4 separate regions of the Mus musculus genome follow, and all the other regions are reported to be linked to region 4. The links are microRNA targets in miRTarBase. Many come from high-throughput screens and were not tested one by one. Region 4 holds a microRNA gene; each other region holds the end of a gene's coding sequence.
Evidence for each region. Region 4 holds the annotated microRNA mmu-miR-3470b (UCACUCUGUAGACCAGGCUGG, at 2,878-2,898, opposite strand). A microRNA usually pairs through its seed, bases 2 to 8, with sites in the 3' UTR of a target mRNA and lowers its output. Matches are read on the target gene's strand: a 7mer-m8 pairs with bases 2 to 8, a 7mer-A1 pairs with bases 2 to 7 and ends in A, and an 8mer does both.

Region 1: miRTarBase lists Ciapin1 as a target of mmu-miR-3470b. Seed matches in the 3' UTR shown: 8mer at 2,159-2,166 and 7mer-A1 at 309-315.
Region 2: the mRNA of Rab27a is a reported target of mmu-miR-3470b. Seed matches in the 3' UTR shown: 7mer-A1 at 2,057-2,063 and 8mer at 1,907-1,914.
Region 3: miRTarBase lists Asxl2 as a target of mmu-miR-3470b. Seed matches in the 3' UTR shown: 7mer-A1 at 3,011-3,017.

What each region holds. Positions count from the first base shown.
Region 1 is chr8:94,819,634-94,823,702 of GRCm38, forward strand. It overlaps Ciapin1 (cytokine induced apoptosis inhibitor 1), which reads right to left. Exons shown (of 9, transcript NM_134141.4): 8 at 4,020-4,069; 9 at 185-3,574. The coding sequence ends at 3,464. Among named protein-coding and RNA genes, the nearest start is that of Ccl17, 11 kb to the left of the region's middle.
Region 2 is chr9:73,095,121-73,099,189 of GRCm38, reverse strand. It overlaps Rab27a (RAB27A, member RAS oncogene family), which reads right to left. Exons shown (of 6, transcript NM_023635.6): 6 at 1,576-3,932. The coding sequence ends at 3,734. Among named protein-coding and RNA genes, the nearest start is that of Khdc3, 5.2 kb to the left of the region's middle.
Region 3 is chr12:3,501,683-3,505,751 of GRCm38, forward strand. Asxl2 (additional sex combs like 2, transcriptional regulator) reads left to right here. Exons shown (of 13, transcript NM_001270988.1): 13 at 1-4,069. The coding sequence ends at 690. Among named protein-coding and RNA genes, the nearest start is that of Dtnb, 69 kb to the right of the region's middle.
Region 4 is chr16:44,012,714-44,016,782 of GRCm38, reverse strand. Mir3470b (microRNA 3470b) reads right to left here and starts at 2,931; the gene lies at 2,806-2,931. It overlaps Gramd1c (GRAM domain containing 1C), which reads left to right. Exons shown (of 17, transcript NM_001359085.1): 6 at 3,746-3,861.

The DNA.
Region 1 (4,069 bases), not on the chromosome of region 4:
TGCCTCGGCCTCTAGAGTGCTGGAGTTGCAGGCGCACTGCAATACCTGGCTGGGATGCTTTTTACCTTGCTTTCTGCTGTGTGAGAAAAGTCTTCTCTAATACAGAATGCACTTTAGAATCATCTGGGAAAGCCTCGTGAAACACTGCTACCCTAGACCACTCCAGAAGATTCTGATTTTTGTCTTTGTAAATAACACCCAGGCACAGGAGGTTGTTTTTATTTTTGGAAGCTGCCCAGTGATTCCAATGGTCAGCCAGTGTTGAACTGTCCAAACAAATCCTGCTGTGTCCCCATCTGGCCACGCCTTCACTCTTATCTGGTAGGGCTTCTGCTTCGCCTTCCGAATCGCCATCACCACATACTGGGTGAAGCAGTATTTTGTAACATCAGAGAACTATCAGCTTCAAGCAATGGCAGGCTTCCCTGTAGACTCAGCTCAACCAGGAGTATCTGCAAAGCCCGAGGGCCTTCACCTCTGCAACCTGTCTCACTCACACCCCCTCATGCTTCAGCTCCAAGACCCCTTAAGGCCCAGCTGTCACCAAAGCCCAGGAAAGATGTGGCCTGCCTCTGCTGCCTATACTAACCAAGTGATTTCAGAACGAGGGGAAACTAGATGCCACAATACCAGATTCTAAGCCAAAGACTCCATAGAGCTAAGAAGCCAGGGAGCTGGAAGATTCCTCAATGGTTAAGAGAACTTAGCTGCTTTTACAGAGAACCTGTTTGATTCCCAGCACCCATATAGTGGCTCACAGCTCTAAGTCCAATCCCAGGGGGGCTGACACCCTCTCTGGGCTCCCTGGGCACTGCACAAACCTGGTACACAGACATATATGCATACATACACATAAAATGAAAAAAAAAAACCACATTTTTTTAAAAGCCAGGTTTAGCATGATGGGACATGCTTGCAATGCCAGTATTCGGGAGCCTGAGGAGCCCCATGAGGTGCAGGCTAGTTTGGGCTACACGGTGAGATTCAGGCTACGATAACCAGAGTTTGTTTCAGACAGGGGAAGAGAGGGGGAGGGAGGGAGATGGAGGAGAGCCCAGCTTCCATGTAACCCAGTCTCACAAAAACAAAAGACAAGAACCAATGAGATGGCTCAGTGCGGGAAGGTAATGGCTGCCTAGCCTGAGGACCTGGCTTTGATCCCTGGGACCCACGTGGTGGAAGGAGAACCAGCTCTGGCAAGTTATTCCGTGACCTCCAGGTGCACCATGGCACGTGTGCCTGTATACACATAAACACAAAGAAACCATTACACTTACTACAAAACCAAGGCTTCCAGGCCCACACATGTATCCATGGGAGTTTAGGTTGAATTTGTTTTTGGGTTCTATACTGTAAGCTTACCAATGGCTGAAACTCCTCCTTAGGCTATGGTCACAGACTCAAGAGTCTGGCCAGACAAATAGCTGTGCCCCTACCACTGCAAATTCCTTGGTGTGCAGCAGCAGCCAGGCAGAGGCCTACATGTGCTCTGGGCAAGGATTCTCTCCACCAGCCTAGGACTGACTAAACTGGATATGCTCCTTCTGGCCCTTGTGGAAGGACACAAAGACTGACGCCAGGGCCCTATTAACCAAGCCAACCAAATCATTATCCTTCGTGCCAGTCATAGCTAGCAATCAACAAGCAGGTCTGAAGGGCTTGTGGCGTTTACTAAGCCCACAAGGAAGCTCTGGTCCAGGAGCATCTCCTCCTCCTAGAGGCTCAAGTGTTTGTCCCTCACCTAGGTAACTGCAGTAGAGGCCGACAACAGGTCTGTGACTGGGCCAGTTGGTCAGCTAAACCTAAACCCATCTGGGGCTGAGTTTTTGTTGCTGTGTGACAAATCAGTCAGCCACACCCCCACTTATTATCTTGGCTTTTCTGTCAATTGCTCTGGCCTGAGAAAACCTTTTTTGGTTTTGGTACTAGGAATCAAAAACAAGGCTTTGTGCATACCCAAGTGTTCCATCCATGGATCCCAGCCATTAATTCAGGCACAGGCTGTGTTCTCATTTGAAAGCGAGTCCTCTTTCAAGCTGGCACAGTGATGACAGAACCAAGCTCCTTGCTGTGGGGCTGTAACCACCACCACCCCACCACCACCCTTTTTTTCCCCCCAAAACAGGGTTTCTCTGTGTAGCCCTGGCTGTCCTGGAACTCACTCTGTAGACTAGGCTAGCCTTGAACTCAGAAATCCGGCTGCCTCTGGCTGCCAAGTGCTGGGGTTAAAGGCATACACCACCACTGCCTGGCTCCCACTTTCTTAGTAGGGCTAAGAGGTACACACCTCCTAAAACTTCACCACTAGCTTGTGCACAGGCAGCAAAACAAAGCCTTTGTTTTCTAATTCTTTTAAAGGATCAAGAGAATGGGCCAAGGATAATCTCCCGTCTAATTAACTTTAATCAGCAGGGACTGTGGGTCCATCTGTAAAACCCTTTCACTTAGCAAAGCCTCTTCCACTCAGAAGAGAAACACCAGAGGTTTTCAGGGTTTGCTGTAATTGGAGGGGAGGTAACACAAGGCAAGGGTCACTGGGGTCAACAGAAATTCTGCTTCTCAAAGGGCTTTTCACCACACCCATAGCAGCAGAAGCTAGCTAAGCAGATCAAGTAACAAGGACAGGTAACAGCAGGCATGATGGATAACAGGGATGTGGGCAGAGGCAGGAGGGAGACTGAAGAGGGCCTCCTGCTCTGATACTTCCTGCTGCTGGTCCAGCCTGCCCTAACCTGCATTCTCCACCTGGCTCCTACAGGAGGTGAAGACAGATCCTAGTCCTAGCTAGTGGGCAGTTCTGGCCCCACTCCTGTGTGACGATGACTTCTTCAAAAACAATTTTCATAGTCCAAGCTGAATGTGGATGGGTGACAGACAACCCTTCACTACCACACACAGACACAAAGACACACTCACAGTAAAAGGGAGACATAAAAACACAAAAGTTTAATACCATTTAACAGAAATGACAACAGGACACAGATACAACACTACAGTAAAACGGGGTGAGGTGAGAAAGGCAGAGGGACACAAGATGGATCACAACTGGGGGAGTGACTTCTTTGGTGCCCCTGAGGCCCTTTGACAGCTAACCCATGGCTCCAAGAACTACATCCTGAGGAAGTCCAGCAGGTGGCAGCATCACTGAGCGGAGCCTGGAGCTTACTCAGCATAAATACTCAAGGGTGGAGAGGGACAGCACTGTAACACCAGGAGCAGAGTTCCTTAGGCGCATCCACCCTCTTCCCCTAACACTAAGAGACAGGTCCCCTCAATCCTTGGTCTTTCAAGACACAGCAGCACCCCACCCCACTGCCCACAGCAGCTTCGCTCGCTCGCTCGGCTGCAAGCCTCTCCCTGTGAGTGTTTTCAGAGCGCCTGAATCCAGAGGTGGGAGGAGGCCGTGGGAGGAGCTGAGGACAGGAGTTGCTGGAGGAGGAGGTGTGTGGGCTTGAGGTCCCTCCTAGGCATCCTGGAGATTGCTATTGCTCAGGAGCACCTGCTCGCCAGGCTTGAAGGCTGGCATCCCGAGGTAGGGGCAGTTGGCACAGCGGAAAGCGTCACCCAGGTAGCACTGTGGAGAAACAACAGTCACACAGAGAGGCTAAGGGCCAAAGGGAAAGGGCACCTGCGTACACCCACGGGTCTCTTGTTCTATGAAACGTCAGTCAGTACGGGCGCCAGCCACGAGAGTTGGTAACACAGCTGTACTGACGTACTTGGGAGGCTGAGGCAGGTTTATGGCCTGCCTGAGTTATGTGGAAGCCCATGGGACGGAGGAGAGGTAGCTCAGGCAGCCTCTGCTACAGGAGATCACAGCAAGGTCAGCCAAAATAAAAACTGATAGCCACTGTCAGCCTGGCATGAGAATGCCGATTCCCTCTCGGGATAACCTCTTCTCATTACAGCTGCACTCGTGGCCCACTATGACAACACTCAGTGACAAATCCCTTAAGATCAGCTACTCTGTGTGCAGTTAGGGTCAGGGGTTGGTGGGTGTCAGGAGGTGCAGTACGTACATTTCCACAGGCTGACTTGGGCTGAGAGCTCTGCGCCTTGGACTGCTCCC
Region 2 (4,069 bases), not on the chromosome of region 4:
AGCCTAAAGGCATTTTAATGTAGGCTTATACACGAGGGTTAGGAGATAAAGCACCATGAAGAAAAAGTCATACCTGGCAGAATGGGTGCAGCAATCAATCAAAAAGGATGGACACTGCTCATTGTATCTTGTATGTTGTTTTGAGACAGGGTCTCACCCAGTAGCCCTGGCTGGCCTGGAACTCATAGAGCTCTGTCTGCTAGCTTCTGTCTCCCAGGGATGCCACCATATTTACAATAGGGCAATGGATTTTTTGGTTTGTTTGTTTGTTTTTTTACAATAGTCTACAGGATTTGGGTGAAATTTCTATCCTATCCCTGGGTGCTTCTTGAAGACACCTGATAAGGTAACTCTAGTCCCAGAGAAGACCTGGAGGCAGGCTATCTTCATTAACAAAGTTAAGGTTTTGTTTTCTGTTCATGCCCTTCTCCCAGAGGCTCTTCCCTATATAATCCAAACAATTTGGATATCTGCACACCGTTTTGTACCAAGGGCCTCCTGGACGATGGCTCCCCTCTCTTCCTTCCCCTCTCCCATGGTTCAGGGTCAAGCTCTTTATGGACTCTCCCAGATGTGTCTGCCTCTGGCTATGCTTACGCACATATCTATAATGAACTTCCTCCTCCACCTTACGGAGGAGCAGTCAAGTCCTTTCTTTCTTTGGTTGTTTTTTTTTTTTTTTCTTTGTCTTTGATGAGTTCCCATCTGCAGATGTGCAGAGCACCAGGGCTGTTGCAGATTAAGCACCGACAGATGGGTGGTGAGCATGAACACTTAAAGACCCCTCCCCTGTTGGAACCTCCACTTTTTAGCTATGGCTTGCAGACTTTGACAAATCCTCTTCAATAGGGTTAGCAAACCAGGCACCAGGTTTTCAGCATGGGGCATCCTAGTGGACCATGAAAGTGGCTGCTCTTTTATAGGACATGATTGGACAAGGTGGTATTTGAACAGTCTTGGCGAGAGCACCAAGTAGACCTCTGGAAAGCTAGCATCACAGACAGACCCATGAGTGCTAGATCAGAGCCAACTCAGGGATGTGCATCTGAGAGGAGGCTGAGTCTCTTTCCGTCAGTAGCCAAGCCTTCTCCAGTGCCCTGGCACCACTCCCAGCTCTGCTTTGAGTGCAGGACCTAACCATTTTTGTTTTGCTCCATCAGACTACCTAGTTCACCAACTCTCAAAGGTACTCAATAAATATTGGATAAAACATTTTGAATTGGGGGTGAAGAGATGTTAAAAGCACTGGCTGCTCTTCTAGAGGACCTATGTCCAATTCCCAGCAACTACATGGCAGCTGACAACTGTCTGTGATTCTAGTCCCAAAAAATCCAATGGCCTTTTCTGGTCTCCAAGGACATGCACACAAAGGACACAGACACACAGGCAAACATTCATATACATGAAATAAAATTGACCAAAAAAAAAAAATCTATCTCGAGCTATCTTCCCTGGATGCTGTTTTGGCCAGGGTCCTCAGCAAGCATCTCGTGGACTCTGCATTCCTGAATTCGGGTTCCTTTGGCATCACAATTCCTAGTTTGAAATATTCACCAGAACTTGATATACTGGACCTCTTTTATTATTTTTTTTTATTATTATTATGGTTTAATTGGCACAAAGTTCACTAAAGAGCATTTTTTATACAGATTTGTAAATAGAAAAATACAGTGACAAAAAGTACGGTTATTTTTTTTTTTTTATCAAATTTAAACCATTTTCAGAGAACTCAGTTTTGTTTTGTTTCAACAATTCAAGGCAGCTCTTGTGTTGGGCAACTATCACACACATTAAGCCCCGTGCCTGGTGTGGAGCCAACAGGAGCGGCATCTCACTTCTCAAAACCCGCACTATGCCACTGTGCAAACATTCACTTTTTTATGTGTAGTCTTGGCTGTCCTGGAACTCACTCTGTAGACCAGGCTGGCCTCGAACTCAGAAATCCACCTGCCTCTGCCTCCTGAGTGCTGGGATGAAAGGCATGGGCCTCCACTGCCTAGTGTGTGTTTGTTTTTTGAAACAGGACTTCACTATGTATCTTTGGCTGTCCTGAAACTCACTCTATAGTGAAGCCTAGCTTCAAACTCATCGCCTGCCTCTGCTTCTCAAGTATGGGAGATGAAAAGAACGAACCACCAATACCTGTCTGGCATATTGACTTGATGTATTTACAAGAGAGACATTAAGAAATGTGCCAAACAAGCAGTATGCTCCACTGAAGTCTTAGAACAACGCTGGAAGGCACGGCTATGATGGGCCTCATGTCCTGGGTATATAGGATTCAGATGTATAGGCCTCAATGATGAGTTTGGTGTTTCAAAGAGTCCCTTATTTCAAAAACAGTAAAAGCTTAGTGGCCATGGCTATTTTTTTCTGAGGAGGGGTCAAAGGACAATGGCAATAAATGATAGATGTGCAATTTTTTAAAAGTCTTCTGAGAGCCAGGTGTGACAACTACACCTTTAATCCCCAGTGCTTAGGGTGCTGAGACAGGTGGATCTCTGTGAGTTTGAGGCCAGCCTAGTCTACAAAGGGAGTTTTGGGCCAGCTAGAAACTATATGAAAAGACCCTGTCTCAAAAAAAAAAAAAAAAAGCCACTTGAAACTACCATGCAAAGTATGTTTTCCACTATCAAAAAACATCAGTGCCCCACATTCCCAGTGAAAGCTACAGGCTACAAAACACTTCTCTTAAACTGGCCCACAAATGTGACTGCTTAAATACAGACAGTGAACTCCCTCCCTCCAGATAGCAAATAAACACGCCGTTTAATTAAAAAGAGATTCCTTCAGTTACATTAATGGGGGAAGGGGGGGGGGGAGAAAACAAACTGGGAAACACCACCACCACCAAAACTTGATGGGAAAAGTCAGATTGGCAGTCTCCAGACAAGTGAAAGCAGATCCTGAGGTGCCAGACCAAACATACGTACATATGAAGAGACCATACATACATACATGCAAACATACATACTGTAGAAGCATGAGCGATGTTCAGAGGTGCACTGAACCCAACAGACCATGGATAGACACAAGAGTCTTCATGACCCCTCGGCTAACAGCAGACAATCTGACTGATCCCTACTTCACCCACCCCTGCTCCATAAACCCTTCCCCCCACCCCCAAACTCACAGTGAGTCAATCCGATCTATTCAGAGTCTATAGGTATGGCCGCCATCTGTTTATGCTCATGTCAAAGGAAAGGCTATGTTAAAAAGCAATGCTGAAAGACATTGATCTGTGTGTACACACTTATTGACATTCACGTGTTTGAGAGTGATAGTCTACAGTATGGATTTTGAAATCTGGATTCTCAAGACCGTGCTAGCTTTTCCTTGCTCAAAGATCTTAATGTCTTCAATGAGACTCTAGGGCTGTCCTGTGTTGAGGCAGGCGACTGTGTTAAGGCAGGCGACAGGACCATCAGCGTTCTACATAACAGATGAAATCTTTCATGGCTGAAATCTTGGATCCCTAAATGACCCGCCACCGTGGGCTTTTATAAGACACTTTTGGCTCTGTGAAGTATTTCTTCCGATTCATGGACTAAATCATACAAAGCTGCAGCGCGTTACAGATGGATGCCCGAGGTGACCCTCCTGGAGGCGAGGAGAGGCACCTGGCATAGGAGGGGCTGTTTGCTCATCTCATCGAGCTGCCGGCTTGGTCTCTACAGCGGAGCTGGCGGCAACCAGGGGTCATGCGCTGCTGCCACGGGGCTCGCTTGGCGTCTCAACAGCCACACAACCCCTTCTCCTTCTCCTCACTTAGCTGATCCGCAGAGGTATGGCCGTTGGACCGTACCACTCCCTCCGGAATCCAGGACTTGTCCACACACCGCTCCATCCGCTTCATGATCAGGTCCAGGAGCATCTCAATCGCGTGGCTTATGTTTGTCCCGTTGGCAGCACTGGTTTCAAAATAGGGGATTCTGGAAGACAGAAATCACTGGGGTAACAATGTGGGAAGAAAGACAGTGACTTTTGCCCTTCGTAATTTTTTTGGCCATTCAGGATTTGGAGAAATTGAGGATAAATATACATGACAACAGTGTGACTTCAGTAGTGC
Region 3 (4,069 bases), not on the chromosome of region 4:
TCCCAGAGTTCTGGCAGGCATCCGCACCATGGGGAAGCTTCATCTACCAATGATTGTTTAGCTAGCAAGAATGGTAAGACTGAGGCACCAGTGAGTGAGCAAACCACTTTAGGCCAGGAGAATTACATATTCTCTAGAGGCCAAGCATCTGATGAAAAGAGCCTGCCTAGAGATTTTATTCCGGCAGCACATAAACAGATGACTCATGCTGTGAGAGGTAAGACAGTGTGTAGCAGCCCTGAGCTTTTCAATTCTACTGCTCTTTCTCTTCCCGCAGACAGTCCCACACATCAGCCTCTACTCCTTCCACCACTGCAAACCCCCAAATTGTATGGAAGCCCCACACAGATAGGGCCAAGCTATAGAGGCATGATCAATGTCTCCACCTCATCAGACATGGACCATAACTCTGCTATACCAGGCAGCCAGGTATCTAGCAATGTAGGGGACGTCATGTCGTTTTCAGTGACTGTCACTACCATCCCTGCCAGTCAAGCAATGAATCCCAGCAGCCATGGCCAGACAATTCCTGTTCAGACTTTTCCTGATGACAATAGTATCGAGGACACACCATCAAAATGTTACTGCCGGTTGAAAGCCATGATCATGTGCAAAGGATGTGGAGCTTTCTGCCATGATGATTGCATTGGCCCCTCCAAACTCTGTGTCTCCTGCCTTGTTGTTCGGTAATAAGACTGTAGCGTATGTAAAGGAGGGAAGGGAAGGCTTAAAAAGTCATGTTCTTGCACCCTTTTTAAATCACAGAAATAAAGTTTCAGTTGTCTCAAGAGACATTAATCAGGAATACAGAATGCAGGTCTTCACATTTACAGGAAGAGCACCTTGTATAGTAGGTCTGAGTCAAATAGGACTGAATTGGTGACAAAGTTTGCACTTACAAAATCATGTAAATATGTCACATTTTGTTTTAACATTTTTTTCAAAGTATTTAGGTAATGATGTATTAACTTCACATTCAGATTTATGTTCCATTTCTTTTGACTGAGAAAAGTTGAACGGTATGCATGGTGAAAGGAAGCTGTCTGCCTCTGACCTTTCCCCAGGCTATGAAAAGGAAAGTGAGGGAGCGATCATAGTGCTGATTATGTCTTCACAGACTGGCTCAGGTTCTTCACGAAGAAGATGGCCTTTGTGGGATTTAATTCGGGGTTTGCTCATCCCTTTACTTTAGGTGGAACTATTTTCAGTGAAATTTTCAAAAGGTATTAACAGCACAGACAGTGTTTTTGACCCTGACAGCCCTGGCTTAGCTTTTGGCTTCCATGAATCAGTACTGTTGTTAAAAGCAGAGCTCTGCTGTTAAGAGGTTCTGTTTCTAAGGGACTGCTGAGTTAGATTAGTATATACGTGGCAGTAGTTCAGCAATAATACATCACAACATTGCATCAATCATGGGCTCCCACCAATAAACACTTTACGGGTGGGTGTGTGTGTGTGTGCGCGCGCGCGCATGTGCGCATACTGTGTAATGTTGGAAAAGGGATGAAATTGAAGAAACTGAAACTTCACGGAATTTGGAAGAGTGGTTTTAACATGGGACAGAAAATAGTCTTTTCCTATTCTCTCAATCCATTTTTAGGTAGAAAGGGTCTTAAGTGATACTTATGCTTTGGCATCCAGAGCATAAGAGATGAATGCAGCTACCCTGTGCCATCCTACTATAATAAATTTTGCACCCACACACAAGTACACAGTTTGCTGTTTTAGAAAGTGATTCTACAATCTCGGCTGTCAGGACAGCTGGGATGCTTACTGTGAAAGGGTCTTGTGAGTGACTAATGGAATATATGGCTGTGAGATTTTGCTGTTTTTCTTTCCTTTTGATTTTTTTTTAATCCTCCCAGTACTCCAGAGACAGAGACAGACCAGTCTCTGAGTTCAAGGCCAGCCTGATCTTCATAATGAGCTCCAGACAACCAGGGCTATCTAAGAAGCCTTGTCTCAAAACAAAAATAATCACAAAAACCCTAAATAAATAAAAGAAGTAAAAAAAAACCACACACACACAAGGAGCTGGAGAGATGGCTCAGTGGTTACGAGCACTGACTGCTCTTCTAGAGATCCTGAGTTCAATTCCCAGCAACCGCATGGTGGCTCACAACCATCTGTAATGGGATCTGATGCCCTCTTCTAGTGTGTCTGAAGACAGTGACAGTGTACTCATATACATAAAGAAATCTTTTTTTAAAAAAGAGAGAAAAGAAAAACTAGTTGGTGGACATGGTGGGTGACACGCCTTTAATCTCAGCACTTGGGAGGAAGAGGCAGGTGAATCTCTGGGTTAGGACCAGTATGGTTTGCATAGCAAGTTCCAGAGTACACAGTGAAACACTTGTCTTTTTTAAAAAACAAAAGCTAGCTACGAATTTTTAAAGAAATACTGTTTAAGTTAGAGATGGTTTAAAGAAAAATAGTTCACCAAAATTTAGTATTATATAGTCTGTATTGTTTGGTTTCAAGTCTCCTAATTTGAAGTATGTGGTGTAATATTGCAACCCAGTATAGGTGTATTTCAAAAGCTATTTATAAAACTCAGAACAATTTAACTTGCTAATTATATCACCTTCCAGATTGGAGAAAGGAGACAGTAAGGTATTTTGCCTGCCTTGTGATGCCCTCCCCTGACCACCCTACCTTTTTGCATCAAACACTGGGAATGCTTCCTCAGTCCCTGCTCCAAACTATGAAGCTCACCCTTCATTTTTCCTCCCTGCTATTGTGGACCTAAGCAATTACAGTTTAAATTCTGTATACAGCACTAGTCAAGACAATGTGATATCCTTCCACCTTCCCCCTTTATTTCAAGAAATGCATAGATAAGGGAGAAGAAAGGCTTCAAGGATTCATGGTTAAGAAGTGTGTATGTTCTGAAGTGAAGGACCAGTAAGAAATACAAGCCAGGCCGGGCGGTGGTGGCGCACACCTTTGATCCCAGCACTTGGGAGGCAGAGGCAGGCGGATTTTTGAGTTTGAGACCAGCCTGATCCATAGAGTGAGTTCCAGGACAGCCAGGTTTATACAGAGAAACCCTGTCTTGAAAGAGCCAAAAAAAAAAAAAAAAAATACAAGCCAGGATTCTGCTCCCAAACCTTCAGGACAATGGGTAGTCCCCATGGGACCTTAAAAGACCCATAGCTGAGTAGTCTCCCTTGTCTACCCTGCTTTAAGAGGGTGAATGACGGAATAGACTTTATGGTGTCAGTGAGTAGTTTGTATTAGAATAATTTTCCTATTTCCTACCTTGCTTTCTAGAAAGGCTTTTGCTCCATACTTCCCTTAATCTCAGAATGGATGGAAAAGAGGAAGACATTAGGGACTGTCAGGTCCATTTAAAGAGGAAATTACATTGTTACTCTTCTTGATCTCCTCAGGCTATGTAAGTCTGAAGTACTGTTCTTCTCCACTAAGTAATACCCAACTAATTTCCATTTAAAAGTATTCCAAAAGCAGCATTTACCAACAATTTTTTTAGATTGAAAATATATTAAATAAGAATCCATCTAGTCTATTTGTGTTAAAACATGCTTTCAGATGGAAGACGAACATTCATCTTATAAATGAACAGAAAATAAACTAGTCTGGCCCTTTGAGTTTGTCACTCCAGTAACTATTAACACAGATTTTGTCATGGCCTATCATTTCTTTTACCTTTAACTCAACTCTGAACTGATTGAATAAGTGCTAAGCTTATTCTTTGGGCTTTGGGTGGCAATTTTCAGTGAGGTATTAAATATATCTGATACCTGATGGGGCTGTGCCCCATCCAGCCCTCAAAGTAGTCTCTGTAAATCGCTGGGATAGTATTCATATTGTGTCATCTCAGTGTTATTTTTAAGTGTTCTGAGTTGCCTAAGTAGAACACTCTCTGAATCATAAGGACTTTTTGTTTTGCTTTTTGAATAATCACCATTCTTTAGCTCAGTAATATGGGGGTGGGGGAGCAGCACAAATAACCTGGAGTTGTTTGGCCTTGGTTCCTTAAGTCCTGTGTTCAAGACACTGAAGCTATCTCCCATGTTCTGTGTGAGATTTCTGAGTAAGATCTGGC
Region 4 (4,069 bases):
ATTCCATTTAGGGTACTCAGGATAGGATCTATGCTAGCTGTGATGGCAGGAGTCTGAAGCGAATACTGGTCAGTGCTGATGTGGAATAAGAATAGGTATCAATGACTCGCTAGAGTTGAATTGAAAACTGTTGTCATGGGGAGGTTAAGTTTTAACATAGTTAATTTTCACGTGGGGTTAAAATAATATTGCAGTAGGTGTTTTACATTATTTGAGCAAATGTAAGATCTTTCCATTTGCACCCTGTCGCTAATCAGCGTGTACAGTAGAAGAAATTCGGAACCGTCCCTTTAATAAAACATTCTTTCCCTAGCCTCTTCCAGTGGGCGTGGCTTAGGAACCTGTCGAGTGAGGTGTGACTTCAGCTCTGCAGGCTGACCGGCCCCCTGGAAAGAGGGCTGGTGCTCAGAACCAGGAAGCAACAACTGAAGCTTCACACAGCACTGGCTTTTACGTGGCGAAGAGCCCCGTAAAGAGTAGGAAACTGAAGTACCGAGTTTGCTTAGCTGTTATCAAAGTTTTGAAGCTCTAACTGTGGATAAAGACTCCATAGAGTACTTAGAATACCAAGCTTTCTGGGCCAGAAATTGATCTGCTGACTTTTGACTCCTATCTGATTACTGCTTGGTTCATCTTTATTTTGCTCAAGTTATCTATCTGCAGGCTGAACCCAGAGCCGCTCCGCTCCTTTGCAGGTAGGTGGTCGACTTTCAAATAATATTTAGGTCGGTTTTTGTTTTTTTTTAAGGCTCAGCTGCTAAATACTGAAAAAGTTGCGACTATCAGACTGGCATGTTTGAATAGCGTGATTGTAAATAGTCACGTTTTTGAGACAGCTGGACAACCTTGCAGAAATAGTCATTTTTAACAAATTAGCACCATGAATTAAATGAGTTTTGTTTTGTTTCCCATTAACCAATTATGTATTTACATTTAACTAATGGATGAAAATGTATGTTGAAATTATCTTGCTAATTAACTTAAATAGCATTTTGTTCTCAGGTTTTGCTCGCCAGTTGCATGTCTTTTACCGTTAGGAAGCTGAGTGTTCACCACCAAGTCATTTGTTTGCTTTAGTTTTTATCTTCGGAAACGTCTATTATTTCAAAAAAAGTTTTTGTGAACGGTTAATAATCTAACACAGTTGTGCTGAAAAATCGCCTTCTTCTGGTAAAGCTATCTAACCATCCTTTTGCGATATGAAAACGGTTCCAATGATGATGTCTCTGGAAGACTTAGTTAATTCACAGTATGAATTATTGTTATGAAAACAGAATCCACACAGAATCTCTGGGGTAGAAGGCGAGTCCCTTTAGGACCAAGGACAGGAGCATCCTTAACTGTCACTAATGGGCCTTTATATTTTTCTTCTCTGGATATTCTACTTGAGAAGACTTCATCCGCTAAAAGGACAGTTGTAGGAAATAGAGAGCATCGCAGAGTTTGTTTTCTAGATGTGTGATTTTTCAGTTAGAGTTCTCCAACCTGGGATTTCTACTCCGCGTTCACATAATCAGCTGGAAGCAAAGAGGCATGTTTTTCTTAGCTTGCCTCCTTTATTGCAGGTTTTTGAATATTTTTGACATTTTTGAAGTGTAGATAATGACATCTGAATTGTCATCAGCTGGTTTTGTGGTCATCTTGGCAAACTGGGATATAGCTGCCGCAAGTCCAGACCATTTTCCTTTTAAGCTCCCTGGTTCCATGAAGTGTAAGGAGAGTCATCTAGTAAAAACCAGGACACAGAGCTGCTCCTGGGAGGAGGGAAAGGCGGTGGTGGTTGTTGTAGGGGCTGAACACCGGGGCTGAATTCAGGGCCTTTATACATTTGGCCCCATTATATATTTTTACATTCAACCTCTTAACTTTGAAACATTTCTCTGATTGGGCTAGGAGATGACTTACTTGCTAGCTTCATAACTAATGTTACTTCTGTCCATCTCTGCCCTCCCTATGGGTTGGTCGTCTTCTCTCCATCTCTTCTAGTTTTTCTTCACGAATCCGTCTGTCCTCTAGCTTACCCAGAAGCCTATCTCCTCGGTGGAGCCTCATCTGGCCACCTTGGTCCTCAATAATATTAACTCCTTTTGCACTTCCCTATCCCATAGACTCTTCCAGCCCATTAGCACATGATCATGTGCATCTGATTTAAGAGTGCCCTGTATCCTTCAGACATGAGTACTAAATTCGGAGATTGTTTTTATACCCTTTGGATCTAGAGCGGTGCCACAGGTTTCATTCCCAATAAAGACCTGTGGAATGGATGGAAGATCGTATTGACAGTTGCTTCAAGTACCATGCTGTCTCTCTCTCTTGTCTTGCTTAATCATGTAATTAATTGCAATGTTCCCGGAGACCAGTCTGTTACTATGATATGATGTTATTTTCCCAAATAGTTTACAGCTTGCTTTATTTGGTGATTAAGGTTTTTTTTTTTTTAAGTGGGTCGGTGTGTGTGTGTGATGCCCATGGAATCCCGAAGGGTGTGTCAGTTGGAGTTACAGATTTACAGATGTTTGTGACTTGCCTCATGTGGGAGCTAGGATGTGGCCACTGGTCCTTTGGTGGAGCAGCAAGCACTCTTAACCACGGGTACATTTCTCGGCTGTACTTGGTAACTTTACCACTGACATGCTGTCTATAAAGGAAGCAAGCTAGAATTTACTAAAAGTAAATTAGTATTCTGAAGGTTGTTTTCTTGCATTTTATATTTTAGGAAAATGTAATTTGGAGCTCATTGGTGTGCAAAGTTCTAAAAATGCTTAAAATATTCAGATACAATCGTGAATTAGAAGTTTTGGTTCTCGGGCATTGGTAGCGCATGCCTTTAGTCCCAGCACTCGGGAGGCAGAGGCAGGTGAATTTTTGAGTTCAAGGCCAGCCTGGTCTACAGAGTGAGTGCCAGGACAGCCAAGGCTACACAGAGAATCCCTGTCTCGGAAAAAAAAAAAAATTTGGTTCTGAGTTAACATTTAGGACAACTCTGAATTGTGATCATAGGTTGTATGGATTTCAGATCAGTAATTAGCAGAAATGATAAGTAACTTACTTTTATAGAAAAAAAATCACTTTAAGCATCTTTACTGAAGTGTACTTCTGCACAGTAGCCTCTTTAATACACACTTTGAAAACCCACCATTTTCTAAGTGGAATGTGCCTTTTAGTTTCAACTTCTTTGGAGAATAGCTCAAGCCCAAGATCGGCCTTGAGAATGTGGTTAAACCCTGTGAGAAACGATTATCTGTTTATCGATTTAACTCTTGGTTTAATTATTTATTCTTACATTTTTGCCTACATATAGGTCTGTGCACCACTCGTGCGCCTGAGATGGCCAGAAGATCCCCTGGAACTGGAGTCATAGGTGGTTGTGAGCCACCATGCAGGTGCTGGGAATCAAACCCAGGTCCTCTAGAAGAGCAGCCAGTGCTCTTATCCATGGGACTTCCTCTTGAATGTCTCTTATCAAATGGGCATATTTAACCTTTCCTTTTCAGCGATGGGGATGGAGCTCTGCAGAGCCTTGTGGATGATATGCAGTTCTCAACCACTAAGCTATTATGCCCAGCTCCCATTAACCCTTTTTTTTAAAAATAGAAAATAGGGAGACAAATAGGCCAGGATCTATCCGAGCCACACCTTGACTGCTCACACCACGGCTCCTCTGACTTTGGCCTTTGTGCTTTGAATTACAGTTACGTTATCTGTTGCATTTTCCAATAGTCACGCAATGTTTCTGTCATCTTAGAGCCTGACCAGACAGGAGTTCTGGCAACTGCTCCAGCAGAACTATGGCACGGAGCTAGGCTTAAACGCTGAAGAAATGGAACACTTGTTATCAGTTGAAGAAAATGTGCAGCCAAGGTACAGTGAAGCAACGTAGAGTGTCAAGGTGCATTATGGCCCATCACAGTGGGATCATTGTAGGTCGTTTCAGTTCTGAATTTCTTTGAACTCATCGTTTGGTGCGGTTTGCCCTCTTGTTGGTAGAGTGCAAGTTGGGAGAGAAGAGACTCATTTGCTAAGTTGGTAAGCACGTGTGGGACGTGAAGAAATGTTAGAGATGAGGCTA